Macaca fascicularis: one gene and its partner. The protein of the gene in region 1 interacts with the protein of each later gene in a pairwise test. Links are inferred from orthologs where the notes say so. Each region holds a gene or a part of one and is shown in the gene's direction. Other genes may lie near its edges.

Region 1 (3,654 bases):
GACCTGTATGTATAATTCAGTATGAGAGAGAGTATGTTAAAGTCAGCAAAATATATCCTGCTTTCCATTAGATATGGAAACCATGTCAGTCTGAATTTGAAGATTTTAGAAGGCACACCTAGATTGTTCTGCTCAGCCTGTTACCATGTAATGTTGCAAATTTTCTTTAGTTATTAGAAATTGACTACTAAATTTCATCTACACATACATACATTTTAGTTTACAAAGTTGGAATTATCTCTAATTTTTATTGAGCATTTTGTATATGCAGGCACTGTACTAGGCAAAGTACTTCTGAAGAAATGTTGACTCTTCATTAAAGTTGGTATATTTTAATTATGGTAGATAAGAACTGGTCTGGCTGAAGCTGATTTCCAAGCTACTAGAATGTAAGTGATCTTCACTTATCTGGGAAATAGTCCCTCTAGACTGAACTAAAGCTCACTCTGATAGTTTCTTTCCATCATTGAAAGTACAAATACAGTCTGGAAATTACTGAGAATTACTGTTTTCTTCTGTTGGCCATTGACATCACATTCATTCATTCACTCAGCAAATATTTATTAAGCGCATACTATGTGCTAGGCAGTGTTCCTAGGCCCTGAGGATACAACAGTGAACAAAGTCATGGCCCTCTGGGATCACTTATTTGAAGGTTGGGGGTAGGAATATATAACATGTATAGATAGTATAATATATTATATGTATAGATAGTTTAATATGTAATATGTGAGATGGTGATAAGTACTAACAAGAAAGTAAAGTAGAGAGTGCCGTTATCTAAGAAATCTAAGAAATGCTGGACATTTGGGGGTGGGGGGTTGTATTTTATTTTTAAAAGATGGCCAGGGAAGGCCTCACTGAGAAGGTGGCATTTGTATAAAGACCCAAAGGAAGTCAGGAATAGGAGGAAGAGAGAAACACCGCCTATTTATCTTGTTTCTTTAATACAGTAAGTTAGCTACTCGTGTTGCCCAAGCTATCAAAATTGGATTAATTTCTAAAGAACCCTCAACAGATAATTAAATATCTACCATTTTATGAGTCATGTAAGTGTAGGTGGCAGGGGCTGGGAGAGCAGGGAGATGGGAAAATATAGTAGTGGTGTCCTGCTATTTAAAAAACAAACCCTTTTCAGAGAGTCCCTTATTCTCATTATCCTCAAGACAGGAGATTGGATTGTTTTCCCTACCAACCTGCCTCCTTCTGTATCTTACAATGAAATCTTCAGCCATAACTGGGTTGCTGGCACTTCCTATGAAATAACTCTCAGAATGCTTAATTTGACTTCCTATAGGTTGAGTAGAAATGGGCTGAGAGGCAGGGAGCCCTAACATAATATGGGGAGACAAAGAGGACTATAAAACAAGAAGGTAAATGGTGTGAGCTCAAGTGTCTTGGGTAATGCTAGTTTCTTTCCAGTTTGAACATCCCTTATTGCTGGTTTTCTGAAGTCTTCTGATGTCCCTGCTCTGCCTGTAGTTTGCTGAGAATGAGGCTTCTGCATTGTCAGATCCCAGTTTTACCTAAGCATAGAGCTTTGACTTTTCTAACTAATTCTTGAATTTTTTGATACTTGGGTCATTAGACTCTGACATATTACCTTATAGAATGAATTCAGCAAAGAAATTATAATTCATGATATTAATTTTCATTCTTTGCCCTCAGCATATGTGAGCGGGTAACTCCCCGGCTATCCCATGCCAACTCAGCAGTGGTGCTTTCAGCAGTAAAAGTCCTAATGAAGTTTCTAGAATTGTTACCTAAGGATTCTGACTACTACAATATGCTGCTGAAGAAATTAGCCCCTCCACTTGTCACTTTGCTGTCTGGGGAGCCAGAAGTGCAGTATGTCGCCCTGAGGAACATCAACTTAATTGTCCAGAAAAGGTTGGAAAATAGTGAAGTGTTGATTAAAGTCTTTGTGATTTTGCATTAAGCTTAATAATGTTAATGTTAATTAGGCTAGTGTTAATCTCTTTTTAATATATGGAAATGAAAATGTTATATGGCAGAACAACTTGCTTGCCTAGCACCAGGAGGCTAACAGTTGATATCACAGTATTTCTATAATAAATGCCATGTGTTGCTGCACAGTCCAGTTTGTTTTCTGAAGGGTCTCTTTCTGATACACTGTCTAGTGCCTGGTTGATATGGTTCACGTTGTAGTTTAGAGCCAGATTGTTGTTCTTTTAGCAGTACTTCATGGCAACGTGTGCCCTGATGCTTAAAAAGGATAAAAATAATCTGCCAAGTGGAACTGATAAGAATAGAGGCATATAGAGGAAGTTTATGCATTTTTTTTTTTTTCCTGAGTGGAGCGAGAGGAGAGCAGAGAGGCACAGATTAGGTATTAATACAGTCTCAGAAGGGTGTATCAGTATATGCCTTCACCTTCCTTTCTTCTGTTTCTGTGTACCCTAGGCCTGAAATCTTGAAGCAGGAAATCAAAGTCTTCTTTGTGAAGTACAATGATCCCATCTATGTTAAACTAGAGAAGTTGGACATCATGATTCGTTTGGCATCTCAAGCCAACATTGCTCAGGTCAGACTTTATGCAGACTCAAGTTGATAATGATTTAGCTCTTAAGGTCTGGCCTTTAAAGAAGCTAGGCTGTGAGATTGCTATTTGAGAATCCTTAATGATTAACCACTTCCTCCATTTAACAGGTTCTGGCAGAACTGAAGGAATATGCCACAGAGGTAGATGTTGACTTTGTTCGAAAAGCTGTGCGGGCCATTGGACGGTGTGCCATCAAGGTGGAGGCAAGTGTCTGATGGTAGTTAGGATCATGTATTGGGGATTCTGAGAGTTCTCTTCACTTTTTTCTTTAAAATAATTTTTAAATTTATCAAACTAATAAAGCACACCATTTAAATGTTAAATAATTTTTGATGGAAAGCAGCTGTCTCTGGTCCCTCCCTTCCCTACCTAGACTCTCTTCTCAGAGGGAATAATTTTTTTTTTTTTTTTTTTTTTTTTTGAGACGGAGTCTCGCTGTGTCGCCCAGGCTGGAGTGCAGTGGTGCGATCTCGGCTCACTGCAAGCTCCGCCTCCCGGGTTCACGCCATTCTCCTGCCTCAGCCTCCCAAGTAGCTGGAACTAGAGGCGCCCACCACTACGCCTGGCTAATTTTTTGTATTTTTAGTAGAGACAGGGTTTCACTATATTAGCCAGGATGGTCTTGATCTCCTGACCTCGTGATCCGCCCGTCTCAGCCTCCCAAAGTGCTGGGATTACAGGCCTGAGCCACCATGCCCAGCCTAACCAGTACTTTATAGCAACAAAAGGAGGCAGATGTGTGTCAGAGGATCTTCTATGAAATACCTGCTACTAATTGGCCTTCTTTGTTTTTTTCAATTTAGTACTGCTTTATGTAGTTTCTGTTGATAAATCATTTGGTAGACTGGCTGTTACAGCAAGAAGTTAGCTGATCCTGGATTCTATTCCTGGTTCTGCTAGCTCACTTGATTCAGATGTTTAATATGTTTGTTTCTCTTCATTGGAGAAATGGGAAGGTCTTTTTATTGGATCTTGATACGTTACATCTTTTTTATTACCACTATCACCACACATCACAACTTGTTTTTCTTTTCTTTTTACATTAACATATCTTACTAGCCGTGTACTTAGTATTAATATAGATAATTTTC
Region 2 (3,654 bases), about 5.1 Mb from region 1:
ATCTAAGGGGCTCATTGATCGAGGACGGAATATAATGTTAAACAAAATACTGATCTGGCATTTGGATGGCTTTTTTTTTTTTAAGGCTCTGCGAACATCAATAGATGCTTATGACAACTTTGACAATATCTCGCTTGCTCAGCGTTTGGAAAAACATGAACTCATTGAGTTCAGGAGAATTGCTGCTTATCTCTTCAAAGGCAACAATCGCTGGAAACAGAGTGTAGAGCTGTGCAAGAAAGACAGCCTTTACAAGGTTGATAAAGTTGCGGGGCGGGGGCTGTTAAACCAGGCCTAAAATGATGTTACAAGTGATTTCTATAAATAAAAGTATTGGTTTTGTGAATATGAGAACTGACTTTAAGGCAATTTAAGTTAATGGATTTCTTGATTCTAGGGGCTCTCTTATGTTAAGGTCAAACTTGTTTGGGGGGAAAAAAAGGCCTTTAGCTTATCTGTTCTTTGAAAATTTTAATTTAAATGATACAACTAGGAGGCTTTTTTCCCCCTTGCAAAACCAGATTTATATTGGAAAGGTTCCATTGTTTTTCTTGGTTTACTAGTTTAGTATGTTGGGTCTAATGTTTTTTGACTTTCACTATTTTCTTTGAATAGGATGCAATGCAGTATGCTTCTGAATCTAAAGATACTGAGTTGGCTGAAGAACTCCTGCAGTGGTTTTTGCAGGAAGAAAAAAGAGAGTGCTTTGGAGCTTGTCTGTTTACCTGTTACGATCTTTTAAGGCCAGATGTTGTCCTAGAAACTGCATGGAGGCACAATATCATGGATTTTGCCATGCCCTATTTCATCCAGGTCATGAAGGAATACTTGACAAAGGTAATGACTCTTCTAAGTGTATTCAGAAGTAGTTTTCTTGCAGATATGTAAAATTCTACATGCACATTAATTTTTTTAATTTTTTTTATTTAGTAGAAGTCATTTAGTCGATCATAAAATATTCCTGTTCTTTTGAAAAATTTTTAATAGCTGATAAATGACACTGTTTGGAAGGGGAACTCAAATGTAGCTGTTTACCCTCAGTGTATTTATGATTGTGAAAATAATCTATATTTTGTTTTTTTATTTTAAAAACTATTCGATAAATTTTATTTCAAAGTCGCATTTTTCTCAAACTCAGTTCTTGTAACTCAAATAATCATAACTAGTATTGTAGATTCCCTTTTATTTGGTTGGCTCCTGACTTTAGTGATGTCTATGCCTGTTTCCCCTGGGGAAGCTGCATGTATATTCTTAACATCCTTTTAATCTTCACAATTTTTTTTGATAGTTTAACCCCTGATTTAAAAATATCATAGGAGGTGAACACATAAACAAGCTGGGGGTCTAATTGCCTTGTAAAATTCACTATTCATCTTAGTGTCCCTTTTTGATATAAGAATTTACTCACTCTGTCTTCAGCAGTTACTAGCTTTCTCTCTCTAGAACATTTTTAAATGGTTTTAGAGGATCCTTTTTGTCAAAGCAAAAAACATGATTAAAATCAGACTCTCCCAACTGATTCCTTCAGCCTGCCTGAGTTAAGGCGGGGGTAGGGGGAGTGGGAGCACTACCAACAACCCCTACTACACTGAATTTTTCCTCAGGATATCATTTAATTAGATACCATTGTGTCTGTTTCAAGTTTTTAAAGAATTAACATTTTCTGTATTCAATGTAAGAAAAAACATGTTGCCTTGTCTTAGCCAACATGTTTTAGCCATAGATGAGAATAGCTTCTTAAACATAATGCCAACTTGTGAGACCTGTCTCTAAGCTGCTGTTAACCTAAGTGCTGTAAATTTTACTAGTGATTAAGCTGCTTTCTTTCATACTGTAGCATAAATTCTTCTGCAGTAAGCTTTGAAGTTACAGAAAAATCTAAATTTTGCTTCCAGTATGCCCTTTATTTTCACTTCTCTCATACCTTTTTAGTGGTTAGATGTTTCTTCCCTAAACCTTTGTTGCTGATTCTACCTTTTTATGCTCAATATGGAATTTGATTTTTTTTCTAAGCTGCACCTTCTGAATTCCTTTGCAGGTTGATGCAATAAAGGAAAAGGTGAAAGTTGATTCTTTTCCATCTTTAAGTCTGGAGAACTAAGTCTAAGGAATTTGCATGATTTTTTTCCTTCCTTTTCTACACTGCTGCTGCTGCTTTTTCCCCCCAATAAATTTTCACTAAAGCCTCTGCAAGTCCCTTGAAACATAACTTTAATAGAACTGTAGGACATTAGTAGACGTTTGCTACTAATCGGCTAATAGGCTTTAGGAAGGGCAGGAGGCTAATCAGTAGTTGGTTCACAGTCTCTCTTAAATATATTATGAAAAACTGAGTATGGTGAGTTTCCATATTAATTCCAAAGTAACAGGAAATTTCTCTTCCCTGTCAGGGTATCTGGACCCTAATAGGACTATCATAATACTTGAAGTAAATTAAAACAGCCTCTGGTTTTACTTTGTGAGCTTGCCTGACAGTTGTTGAATTTATATATGTATATACATGCCCTAAAAGGCTTTTTGGGGTTTTTTTTTTTTTGGTATTGAAGGACTGTGATCCAGTTTCTGATCTCTTGATTCTTACTAATTTTTTGCTGAAAGTAGATACAAGAGATACTAGCTGCTTCCGAAGAGACTTTCCTCATGTTTCTCCAGGTGTCCAGTTCTTATGGTGCTAGTCCATTTTTAAGAGGAATCAAAACCTTTTTAATCACGAGAGCCAAGCTTGCTATAATTGTTGCTAAGCAACATGAATTACTTTTAACAAAGTATTAACTTCTACTTTCTGTAATAAGGCATACCACTGAAGCTACCTAAAATTTGCTCTCCTATTTATCAGTTGGCTTGTCCAAGGAGGTCAAATTCAGGCACCTTTTGGTTGCTGCTTCCTTCATTGGCTTGTCTCCATCCCAATATGAATGAAACAAACTTACGTCTGTTATCAAATTGTGGTTAGAAAAGGGTGGGAAGGTAAAGGAGAGTTGAAACAAATTGAAAATAATTTGGGTGGGGGACAATGCCTTGGGATTATGTTGAACCAAACTGGAGTCACCACTGGAACTTAGGGCAAACCTGAGTAAAATGCATTGTGTGTGAGACCCTTCAGCAGCTAGTAAGCAAGGCAGTTAGAAAGCGTGTGTGTGAAAAACAGGTAATTGAACTGCAGTGTTATGCATTGTTTTAAATGGAGCATGTACAACAGTCATTGCAATTACATCATACTATTTTTGAAACTCTTATAGCATTGCTGTGGGCTGTGTGTGTTTCTTGAGAGCCTGTATAGCAAGTCATCTTCAGATCACACTTCTTGCTTCAGTACTTTTGCCTTTTTTTCATGCACACATACACCAAAATAACTGACTGCATGTTACTTTTCCTCTGCAGCATATTGCAGTCTTTGTGGAAAAGCCTTTTACATTTTAGTGAATTTTCAGTAGTACAGATGGAACTGAATTCATTGACATGCTTACCTGTAATTTTTCTTTTTAAATCCAAGGATCAGAAACTTTTGTTACAGCTCTTAACAAAAGCTTGTGTTCTTAAAAGCCTTCTATGCTTTTTTTTTTTTTTTTTTTTTTTGAGCAATCTAAATTGGATCAGTGGAAACAAAAATTGAAAGTCCCTGTGCCAGAGGCTGTCCCATCATATAGAAGAATC

Evidence for each region.
Region 2: the proteins of AP2B1 (region 1) and CLTC interact in a two-hybrid assay, tested with the Homo sapiens proteins (2 studies listed by BioGRID, with this or other methods). The link is inferred for Macaca fascicularis from reciprocal best matches to the Homo sapiens genes AP2B1 and CLTC.

What each region holds. Positions count from the first base shown.
Region 1 is NC_088390.1:41,928,218-41,931,871, forward strand, and holds part of AP2B1 (AP-2 complex subunit beta), read left to right. Parts: intron 1-1,668; coding exon 1,669-1,890; intron 1,891-2,424; coding exon 2,425-2,545; intron 2,546-2,670; coding exon 2,671-2,766; intron 2,767-3,654. UniProt on the Homo sapiens protein: Component of the adaptor protein complex 2 (AP-2). Adaptor protein complexes function in protein transport via transport vesicles in different membrane traffic pathways.
Region 2 is NC_088390.1:47,021,359-47,025,012, reverse strand, and holds part of CLTC (clathrin heavy chain 1), read left to right. Parts: intron 1-85; coding exon 86-256; intron 257-615; coding exon 616-837; intron 838-2,038; coding exon 2,039-2,059; intron 2,060-3,654. UniProt on the Homo sapiens protein: Clathrin is the major protein of the polyhedral coat of coated pits and vesicles. Two different adapter protein complexes link the clathrin lattice either to the plasma membrane or to the trans-Golgi network.